Caenorhabditis elegans: one gene and its partners. The protein of the gene in region 1 purifies or fractionates together with the protein of each later gene. This does not show direct contact. Each region holds a gene or a part of one and is shown in the gene's direction. Other genes may lie near its edges. The genes, in order: ZK228.3, nhr-112 and F49E10.4.

What was found.
Region 2: the proteins of ZK228.3 (region 1) and nhr-112 fractionate together in Caenorhabditis elegans (co-fractionation; one large-scale study listed by BioGRID). This does not show direct contact.
Region 3: the proteins of ZK228.3 (region 1) and F49E10.4 fractionate together in Caenorhabditis elegans (co-fractionation; one large-scale study listed by BioGRID). This does not show direct contact.

What each region holds. Positions count from the first base shown.
Region 1 is NC_003283.11:18,459,314-18,463,068, reverse strand, and holds the start of ZK228.3 (YitH/HolE acetyltransferase (GNAT) domain-containing protein), read left to right. Parts: upstream 1-1,818; 5' UTR 1,819-1,837; coding exon 1,838-1,994; intron 1,995-2,349; coding exon 2,350-2,532; intron 2,533-2,722; coding exon 2,723-2,856; intron 2,857-3,092; coding exon 3,093-3,206; intron 3,207-3,755. Other genes in the region: ZK228.4 (N-acetyltransferase domain-containing protein), read right to left, coding at 98-254.
Region 2 is NC_003283.11:16,722,231-16,725,985, reverse strand, and holds the start of nhr-112 (Nuclear receptor domain-containing protein), read left to right. Parts: upstream 1-2,141; 5' UTR 2,142-2,158; coding exon 2,159-2,217; intron 2,218-2,264; coding exon 2,265-2,407; intron 2,408-2,462; coding exon 2,463-2,533; intron 2,534-2,581; coding exon 2,582-2,794; intron 2,795-2,840; coding exon 2,841-3,019; intron 3,020-3,065; coding exon 3,066-3,181; intron 3,182-3,585; coding exon 3,586-3,755.
Region 3 is NC_003284.9:5,873,735-5,877,489, forward strand, and holds the start of F49E10.4 (Mitochondria-eating protein), read left to right. Parts: upstream 1-2,132; 5' UTR 2,133-2,163; coding exon 2,164-2,292; intron 2,293-2,361; exon of another isoform or gene 2,362-2,489; intron 2,490-2,549; coding exon 2,550-2,669; intron 2,670-3,171; coding exon 3,172-3,306; intron 3,307-3,604; coding exon 3,605-3,755.

The sequences.
Region 1 (3,755 bases):
TTTAAAATTTTCGATTTTTTGAAAAAAACAATTTTTTTTCAAAATTCCCAAAAAAAATTTTTTTTTACAAAATTCCAAATTCTTATTTAAACTTTACCCTTTTCTTTATCAATAACCGTAACAAACCAATATCCATCATAACTCGTAGAATAAAATCGATAATCATACGCTTGATGAGCCCAGCCGTTAGTTTCTGCGGCCAAGTCGATGAGCTGGTCGAAAACTTGTTGCGGTGGGTTTATCACTAACTCCATTATAAAAAACTAGTGGAAAAAACTGAAAATTAGAAAAAATAATGATGAAAAATACAGAAAAAATGAGCAAAAACGGATGAAAATTGACTATTTTAGGAATTTTCGAAAAAAAAAACGATTTTTTGAAATTTTGAAAAAAAAATCAATAATTCTTAAAATTTCAATAATTGCCAATAATGTGCATAAAACTACTACACTCGTAGCTTTTATCGCAAAAAAACTGAAAATTTCATCATTTTCCCCCCGACCAAAATGGCAATTGTTTCAATGAATTTCCCCTTATTATCACTAATGATAAGAAAATTAGTGATTTGATTTTTATACCGTCACTTTATTGTAGAAAAAAGCACGAGAAAAATTGGAAAAACTGCTAAAAAAGTTTGGAAATCGAATGACTTTATATCCGATGAGAGTGTGATAATATTGTGCAATAGTGATCGAAAATTGGGTAATCTTAGCGAAACCTTAGTGTTTGAACTGATAAATTAAGCCCAAAGTGAAAAAAAAGTAGCTAATACTGAAAAGGTTGAAAAATAAAAAATAAAATTTCAAAAAAAAACAAAACTATCTAGAATTTTCCGAAATTTTACACTAAACAAGTTCAAAAAAAAAACCGAACAAAAACTATTTACCTCTCGGGGACTCGAACCCCGGACCCATTTCCCCATAGTCATCCCTCTACCCACCTGAGCCACTTCGACCCATTTTTAAATTTGAGAAAACTAGTGGTATGCTGGGTGTTTAAGCATTAAAATTTCATGGAGAATCTGAAATTTGGGTTGATTTTCTGATCTGGAAACATTGGAGCAAATTATTTGCTCATGTTCAGAATTTTTTGGTGAAAAATACCTAAATTTCCAACTTCTGATCAAAACTTTTTTGTTGAATAAACTCGCAGCTCCTAACAAAAATTAAATACCCCACCGGGGACTCGAACCCCGGACCTCTGCCCCGACGCCATCCCTCTACCCACCTGAGCTAACGCGACCCATTTTTCCAAAACTTTCAAATTTGAGCCCGCAAACTTAAAACTCCTATATCTCCGTGATAAGTAGGGATATTAAAGTAATTTTTGTAAGGTATAATAATGAGATTTCTATGAGAAAAAGGCACATTGCATCACTGATAAAATGAAAATCACGAAAAATTGCACAATCTCTCTGATCATTGCAATAGTGTGTAAAGTTCAAAATATCATCACTGAATCTTTGCACTTTTTTCCCGCAATTTTTTTTTACTTTTTCTATGTTTCTTCTGTCTATAGCATTTTTTATCAGTTGGTCAAAGGTCACCGATCACATAAAATCTTATCATTGTATTAGATCTTTTCGATGATTTTTTTTTTCTGATTGTGAGACTGATAAGGGCAAATTGAGTCTAATGATCACTTTTTTGTAGTTTTCAACGATTTTTATTTGTTTTTTCATTTATTTTGAAATTTTAAATTTTTTGCAAAAATTAGAATACAAATTTTTGAATTTTTCGAAAATAAAAAAAAATTGAAAATTTTCTAACATCTTTTTTTCGTTTTTTTTTCTCATATTTCGTATCACTTTTTATAATATTTCAGAATTTTCACCACAATGGAATTAGTAATAAACCCACCGCAACAAGTTTTCGACCAACTTATCAACTTATCTGGGGAGCTCAATGGCTGGGCTCATCAACCATATGATTATCGATTTTATTCGGAAAATTTTGATGAATATTGGTTTATTGCAGTTGTTGATAAGGAGAAAAGTGAGTTTAAAAACATAACAAATTTTAAAAAATTTAAAAAAATTGGAAATTTTTTATTTCTCGCCATTTTGATTTTCAACTATAAAATTCCAATTCAGCAGGTTTTCCCGGTAATTTTAAGTATAATCATGACGTATTTCTGATAATTTTGAAATTTCGAGAGAGCGCAGAGAAACGAGACACTCTAGCTGTCTGCGCTGGCGCAGTGGCTAACATGAATGGCTACAGTGTAAGGGTCATGGGTTCGACCCCCACTACGGGCAAAATATTTTTTTTCGGTGAGAGTAATAGGATAACACCAATTTTAAACTAGGAAACTGCGGAAAACTTGAAATTTCCCCAAAAATTTTTTCAGAACCCCATGAAAACTTTGTTGCTGGCGGGTGTTTGGCACGGTGGGATGCTGAAAATGAGGCTTCACTCTACTCAATTGGTCTGTATTACTGTAAGGAAGAATATCGTGGGAAAGGACACGGATTGCCGGTTTTCAAGGCGATGATGGGTATTGTGGGGGACGGAAATTGCGTTCTGACAGCTGGTGGGTCAATTTTAGCTATTTAATTGAAAATTTTAAATCAAAAAATTGAGACGGTCACAATGAGTATAATTTTGTTAATTTTTGGAAAAAAAATCTTGATATTTTTTTTTTTTTTTTTTTTCGAATTTTTTAAAACTTTTCTAATTTTCTGATTTTCACAGTTTCCTCTTACATTCATATAGATTTTCAGCAGTGGACATGTCTGAAAAGTACGCCACCACTTTTGGATTCAAGGAAATGCTCCCGTTTTGGCATATGGAAGCAGAAATTGAGCCGGGAAAAATGAGAATTTCAGCGGATTTGACGGAGAAATATGTTACAAAGGTATGAAAATTGAGTAAGAACGTAATTGTTTGGGTAATTAAAAAACCAAAAAATTGAAAAAAAAGTTTTAAAAATTTGGAAAAATTTTTTCAAAAAAATTTTCATTTAATTTTTTTCTTTAATTTTTCGAATTTTCAAAATTGTCATCACAGTTATACTCAAACTGATCAGAAAAATCTGCTCAATTCAAATTTTAACCCAATAGGGCTCTAATTCTAAAATTAACAAGTTTTCAGGACTGGAAAGAGGTGGGTGAAGCTCAGCTAGAAGCCTATGACCTAACAATTTGCACCCGAAATCGCAAGAAACTCATGAGAAACTGGTTTCAACAGGATCAGGTTTATACTAGAGTGAGTTTCGGGCAGAAAATATTTAAAATGAATCTGGAAAAAATGAGCCCCAGAATTTGTTGAATTTTCGGAAAAAAATCCAAAAAAATTTTAAGGAAATTTTTTTGTTATCTTCAAAAATTCATAACTTCCTTTGAAATATAGCAATTAAGCTAATTTTTAATACAGTTTGCAAAACATACATTAATTAACATTAGTCTAAAAAAATATTAGTAAAACCATCAAAAACTACAGTACCCCAAGACTTTTCCTGGCGGGACTTCAAAATTTTTTAGAAAAATTTTATAAATTTTTCCAAAACTCTTTTTTTTCAAAAACTATAACATTGTTATATATTATTATTATTTCAAAAACTATAACATTGCTCAAAATACAATCTATAAGCTAAATTGACATACAAATTGTACAAAATACATTTCTAAACTAAATTCAAAAACATTTTGAAACAAATCATGAAAAATTACAGTACCCCAAGACTTTTCCTGGCGGGACTCTAAAAATTTTTTTTTTTTAATTTTTTTTTTTTTTTTTTTTAAGTTTTAGAATTTT
Region 2 (3,755 bases), 1.7 Mb from region 1:
TTTTCCTGCAAAAGACAATTTTTGATCGCTATTTTACTTTTAACTCTTTTTTTTTAGTCTAAAAAGTCACCTGTGGAAAATTTCTAAATTTTTTTAAATCTCAGACTCTTTTGTACTAGTTTATGGTATTAATTGTTTTTTTTTTTCGTTTTTTTTCTTCATATTTTAAATTAGAATTTGAAAAAGTATTTTTCAAAAAACTTGACTGGAAATTCAGAACTGATTTTTATTCAAATACTTTTAAAGTAATGCTAATTTTTGTTTTTTTGAATACTTTCCGGGAATTAAATTTTTAACTGGAAATTCAAATTTTAGGGTTTCAAAAAATCTGGCCAGAAATTAAAATTATTATTTCCAAAAAGTTTTTGCCTGTACATTCAAATTTAGATTTATCAAAAAAAAAACCATTGGCGGGAAATTCGATTCTTTTCAAAAAAAATGTATGAAGTTCATATTTAAAAATTTTTCGAAAAAAATTTTTGTACGAAACTCAACTTTTAATTTTCCAGAACATTTCGGCTGGAAATTCAATTTTTTTTTCTAAAAATTTTCGCGAAATTTTCATTTTTATTTTATTTTAACTTTCTGCAGAATTTCAAATTAAACACTGTTTCCAGAAGGTTTTAGCAGAAAGTTAAAAAAAATAATTTTTCCAAAATACTAACAAAATAAAATTAAAATTGTTCAATATTTTTGAACTTCAATATTTCAAAATTTCGGCGGTAAATTCAATTTTCAATTATCAGAAAATTCTGTATTATTTTGCAAAATTCTAGAAAATTCTAAAAGTATCCTAAAGTGTTTCAGAATGTTCTGAAATTTTTTAAATGTCCATACTCACACTTATTTTTTGTCAATTTTGCACGCCACCAGCAACCTCTTGTCGTTTTTCCTGCAAAAGTACCTGCGGTATTTTTTCACCTTTTTCATAGATAAAAACGGTTTAAAAGTGCACCACTTTTTTCTAAAATTACTATGTTCCTTTTTATATTGATTGCTTTATTTGATTATGTGTATGTGTTCTATTGGTATTTCATTTCTTACACGATTAACTAATCGTATCAAAATAAATAAATAAATAAATACATTTTTGAATGATTAATTTCATTCCTCAATTTCGTAATATTGCATTGCACGGTGACCATTAAAACACAAGTGCAACTAAACAAATAACGACAAAAAAAGCACCGAAAATGCACTGACTCATCATGCCCCGACAGACGACACGTTGGCAACGCATTTGTAGACTTTTAAATTGGACGGGGAGTCGTACATTCATTTGATCTTTTGTTCTACATTTTTGCGGGATGTAAATATTTCGTGTTTTGCGCGGTCTTTGTCATTTTGCGGCTGCATTGTTCAGAGATCGTTGCAAATATTTCTTATGTGATTTTGTAGACCGAAAATTAAAAAAAAAACTGTTGCTATAGAACAATTAATTAGGAAGGGCATACCTACCGTATTTTTACTATTAAGTATGAACTCATTACCGCCGAAACCGGGCATTTACAAATTTTTTCGTAAAAATCTGAAATCAGCGTCGGATTCAGCATCCTAAAAATCCTATGGAACTACAATTTCGGTCAAAACCATCAAAAATTGGGAGAAAAATGGCTTACAATTAAAAAATCGAATTTTTTTCTTGTTTCCTCCGAATTTTTGAACTATCTAGATGAGATTGAAGTAACATTTTTTCTTACGCTGAATCCGATATAAATATTAGTTTTCCACAAAAAATTCAGACATGTCCTAAAATTCTAGAACGAATGAGGGATCCCGCATACCGGCCGGCCTTTGCCATCACAGCTCGAGGAGCTTGTGCAGTTTGTTGTAAAATCAAAGGCTTGGTGTTAGCACTGCTTAGTGCGATTGGTGTAATTTATCAACGTCCGACACTTTCGGAGTTCCGCGCCACACTATACAGAGGACGCCGGCTCCTAAACCCAAGCCCTGCGTTTGTCCCACAAGTCCCTTGAGATAAGCGGGTGATATGTCCTCGATCAATGTCGGCTGCGCATTTACTATAAGATCTTTAAAGACTCGTTGCTCAGAATTATGCTAACATTGGCAAATATTCCTTGTTTTGCTCAACGATCTCTTCTCTGAGATGCATTTGCAATCCTAATCCGATCAACTTTCAGAGCACTTCTCTCTCAAAATGTGCAAAATCTGCGGATCTTCAGAATCTGAGCCCCACTTTGGCGGGACTTCATGTCGGTGAGAGACTTTTCCCGTAAGCCCAAAAACTAGTCAGAATTTTTCAGAGCCTGCGCTGCATTTTTCCGCAGATTCTATCACTCGAAAAAGCTCGGCTTAAAATGTACATGTAAAACCAGGCAGTCAAATGCTCATCCGTGCCGAAGTTGCAGGATCCGAAAGTGTTATGAAGCTGGGATGACGCCGGAGAGTAGGTTTTGAAGATTTATAGTTATGCTTTAGTTTTTTAACTACTCGAATTTCAGAGATCCAACTAACCAGGGACAAGCATTTGAACAGAACTATAAAACTGGAAGGCCCATGCTCCTCGTTAGATGTAGGATTTAAAGCTTAAAAGCGGCCCGAAGAATGTACTTATTTTTAGACTCCGATAACTTCCCGCCAAACACCAAACTTATATTGTGTTCTATCAAACTGGCACGAGTTGAAAATGACTAGAGAAGAAATGAACAGTGGATCTCTCAATAATTGCAATATTTTCGAACTCACTAGTTTTGTGCTAAGAGATCTTGAATTGACGTGGCGGATGGTTAGCAAGGCCTTCCCAACTGTAGAAGTACTTGAGGACAGGGATAGAGTAGGTTTGACTTTGAAGTTCTTCGCTCTAAAAACTGGAATTCCAGCAAGCTCTGTTACGGAACTTTGTGCCAAAATTATGGCAGATTGAGCCAATCCTCGAGTACCGGGAGTGTGCTGAAAAGTTCGATAATCTGGAGGAAGAGGATTATGAAAATTTGCTGGTTGGGTTTTATGGTGGAACATTTCCAGAAGGGAAGGAAATGTCTAAATCTGAAATTGTTAGGTAAACCTTCAAAAAATGTCGGCCATTAAATGCGAAAAGTTTCCAGTAACTTCCGGCCATACTGGGATTACTACTACACAAAAATGATTCTTCCGATTTCGTCAATGGGGCTCGAAGAGCTTGAATATATGGCTATCGTTTGGCTGGCGTTCTTTGATAATGGTAAGGAAAAAATCGGAAAGTTATGAAGGTTCTGAAAATGATCGGAACGTTCTGAAAATCGCTAGAGGTGTAAAAACAACTTTGGGATTAGCCAACGGATTTTCTGGATGGTTTTATAAATGTCTAAAAAAATTCTGAAAAGATCTAGGAACTTCTGGAAAGACTTGGGAAGTTCCAGAGGCTTCTGGACACTTGTACAAATTTCTGGAAAGTTTACAACTCATGTAAAAAGTTCTTAAAACTTTTGAATTTCTCTGAAAATTTCTGGCATGCTTAGAAAAATTGAAAAAAAAAACTGATTTTTGGAAATTTTTGAGAAACGACTTCTAATTGTTCAAAATAAGTGTTAAAAAATAAATCAAAATTCATATTTCCTCAACTAGGATAACTTTAAAAATTTCCAGGCTACTCAAACATATCTGACAATTGCCTCGAAATGTGTAGGGATATCCAGAAAGTGATACTCAAGGAGTTGCGAAACTATCAAATCGATAGGAACTTTCATGAAAATCGTTTTTTCGTTGCCTTAGAGGCTTTGCAAATCATTGAAAGAGGAGAGAAGAAATTCATGGAG
Region 3 (3,755 bases), on another chromosome or scaffold:
TATAAGGTTAACTTTCATCGGACATGAACACAGAAAAAAAGTCTGAGAATATCAGTGTGTATTTCTGAAAAGGTTAAATATACTAGTTGGAAATGGTTATTGAAATCATCATATCACTTTACATATTTTGGGCAACCGCTTGTAATTGCTTGTAATGGCAAATTTCTTTATCCAGCTATTGTCAACTGAAGTTTAAAGTGAAAGTCATATGTCCGCTTATTATAATTACTTTTTGAGAATGTGAATAATTGTGGTTTTATTTTAATGTATAGGAAAATAAGAAAAAAAATCTCATTGTGTTTATCTAGTTAATATCAAATTTTTATAAATAAAATTTTGATTAGTTTTTTGAATAAGATTGTTTATAATATTTTTTATTTAATGACATTTTGAGTTTGAAAAATGTGCAATTTTTTTAAATGAACATTATAAAGAAACTTACTTCAATATCTATAGAAATATGATTTTAAAATGTAAATATGTAAATATGATTTTAAAAATATCAAAAAAGTAAGATAAGAATATTAAACATTTTATCATGCCCTCAGCCTAAAAAACGTTTTCTGCTTTCATTTCTATTCTTGTATTTTTCTAAGAAAAGCGAGAACAAACAGATATCAGTGGGGGTGTGGAGGGTAATTCAATTAAAACCAACATCAAGAAAGCTTCTTTCAACCAAGAAATACTCATATTCATACCCCCGCTCAACACCACTGACCTCGTTCCGCTCAACACCACTGACCTCGTTGAAATTACTATCGAAAGGACAAAACGTGTGGGGGGGGGGGGGGGGGGGGGGGGGGCTGTAGTAGACTCAAAAGAAAAATCGAAACACGCGTACAACACAATAACTTTTCTTCCCATTTCTCACTATTTCTATTTCTGCTTCCGTTGACTGCTTGATCCTATCCCGCGCCATTCAGCAACACCTTCAACGGGGGCACCTTTTGTTGTGTGAGAATTTCGCGTCCGATTTGATTTCTAGTCAAAACGGACAAAAGACGTAGTAAACGAGAATACAAAGTGTACAAGGTCCTGCCATGTAACACGTGTCAGTACGCCAGTACGGATGGCGCCCCGCCTTTTTTTTGCTTCCACCATCCTTTTTGCCGCCTTCATCAACCATTTTTTCCTCTCTCCCTCCGTACGGCAGCGCCTCCTCTCTGTGTGTGTGTCCATGTTGCAGTCATTTGCCTGCCAAGCTTCTGGCTTCCCAGACGCAACAATACAAACAAATCCTGACAGGCGCGACGACGGGCAGCCTCAGCTACAGTATCTCATTATTGGCACCTCTAATTGCCGTATCAAGTTTCAAAAAACGCGCGTCTCCCCGCTTTCAAGGGGAACGCAAAATTGTCGACGACATGTTTATCCGGCTGCTGCCGGCCAACCATTTTCTCACAGCCACCGGATATTCTGAGATGCTTCTTTTTTTGTTGTTGTCGTTAGATGTACAGTGCCATTCCGCATATCATTGATGTTAGGATCATCTAGCATCTACCAGAATTTTTCCTTTCTCTGAATTCTAAAAAACTGATGGTCTTATATGAGGTAGTATTTGGTGTATCACATATGTAATGTCATATTTTATTAGCTCTGCATACCTCACTCATTTTAAAAACTCTGCTCCAACCCTTTCCGAGAAACTAATTCTGGAGCACAGATAAAATCTGCAAAACTTTGTTTATATTCTTTCTGAAGTACTGCCTTCCATTCACGCATCTTTTCCCAATTCTTCCCGTTTTCACCGTTGGTGAAAGTCATAGTTCTTCAGATGACCACCACTTACGAATTGTCTGTATAATTATGGTGAAGTAGAGAATACGCCGTTCTCCTCTAGGTGAGAAAATATATATCCTATTATTTTCTCTTCCAGTTCAAGCATCCTTTACAGTAATCCCTTTGTAAGTATGTTGATATCATTCACACATTTGATGTTCTCTTTTCCCTTTCCACCATCACTTGAGAAGTAATTAATTGCATTTTTTTTCTTGCACACACTTGAGCGGTCTCCTTTTTCATTGTCTGTTGTTTTTTGTTGCTTTTTTTGTTCGCGATTCATCAATGTGCCGCTCTTTTTCAACGTCATTTTTCACACACTTGTTCCAAAAAACCTAACAATGAAAACAATAGAAAGGGAGCTGCAAACCAAATTCTTTATGCATGGCGCACAAAACCAGCAAATCAGCTGGATGGAGTTTTAAACCACCACGACAGGAACTTAATTTGATTCAATACACTTGCCAAGTGGAACCGCTAGATGTCCAGCTCTTGAATCATCTGCGAGAGCAAGTAAGTAGAAAAACCTGAATAATCAGGAAGAGAATCTTTTCATGAAGTTTATTTGACATTCAATTCCTAATCACCTAATCAAATTAACCCTAGCTGATCATCACTTTTTGATCATTTGCTCGGCGGGCACTACTATCCCGGTGCGTGCGAAATAATCAGTAATGCAAACTCAGTCGCACGCAAGCTTACGTCGGTGTCGGAACGAACGGCTTAGATGTATTTCACAGGTTCAAAGCAGCACGTCACTATACTTGCAGGCACAGAACACCGATGACTTGTCCGTTCTTTTCAACATTTTGCCACCGGTTGAACAACTCGTCTCGGAGATTCCGTACACATTGCCACTGCTGGAAGCGATTTATTTGAAATGTGAATTGGTGAGGGAGTCAGTAATAAAAATTTAACTTGGGAGTCGCATTATGCATATTTGTACGAATTCAGTTTTTAAATAAAAACCTAATACTTCAAATGCTTAGACTTAAAAAAATTTTCGGTCAAATTTTTTGTGAACAATATTGGTGCCAATTTGTCAAAAGCAAAAAATTGAACTTTTTGTGAAATTTCAGGCGTTGCTGTAGGTTTGAATCCTTTGAATGATTTATTTCAATCAATCAAAACACAATTATATTTTAAAACTCGTAGGAAATTTATTTTTGGTAGATTACCAATATTATAATTGGTAAAAAGTGAGATTTCGCCACATTTTGACTGTTCATAAAAATTTCAAAAGTGTATTTAAAAGCTTAACCAAGCATTTGGACATTTAAGCACAACATGAGCAGCTTTTAACAATATCAACAGTCTGACTAATAAGGAAAACTTGGTACATTTAGAAATTATACAATGTCTGCAATAAACATTTCATGTACCAAATTTCAGCGAACGGTGGAAGATGGGCTAATTCTGCCGACAAAGGAATTGTGTTGTGAGCAACTATTCTGCCAATTGGTCTGGTGGACAGCATTCTGTGAGCAAAGCAATTCATCACTTAAAAAACACTGTGCCATGTTTGCAGTAAGCTTTCTCGTCATTTTTCGTCCTAACGAAATGTGTTTCGGATTCTCCTTTTGAATGTTTTTTTTTGTTTAAAATGCAAATAGTTGTTCGTGTTCGCGAGCGCTTTTTCCAGAAAACAGCAGCAAAAACACGTCGCGTAAGACTGCGCAAAATGCATTTTTGCTATTTTTCACGGCGGAATTGCTCACTTGTCGAGGAGCCGAGAGAAGATAATCAAATAACGTTTTTGTGACGGCGTATGCATCCTCCCAACAAAAATGAACATGGAAAAATATTAGAATAGGGTTCGTTTCAGGAGTTTCAACCATGTATTGCCACTTTGATGTCGATTGTCGGAAGGCAGTGTCCCGATTTGGTGAAAAGAGCTCGCGAAGATAGAAATCAGTTGAAAACATGTTTAGAGAGTCTAGGATGCCACGGGCTTGTTAATTGCTCGTCAGGATTAA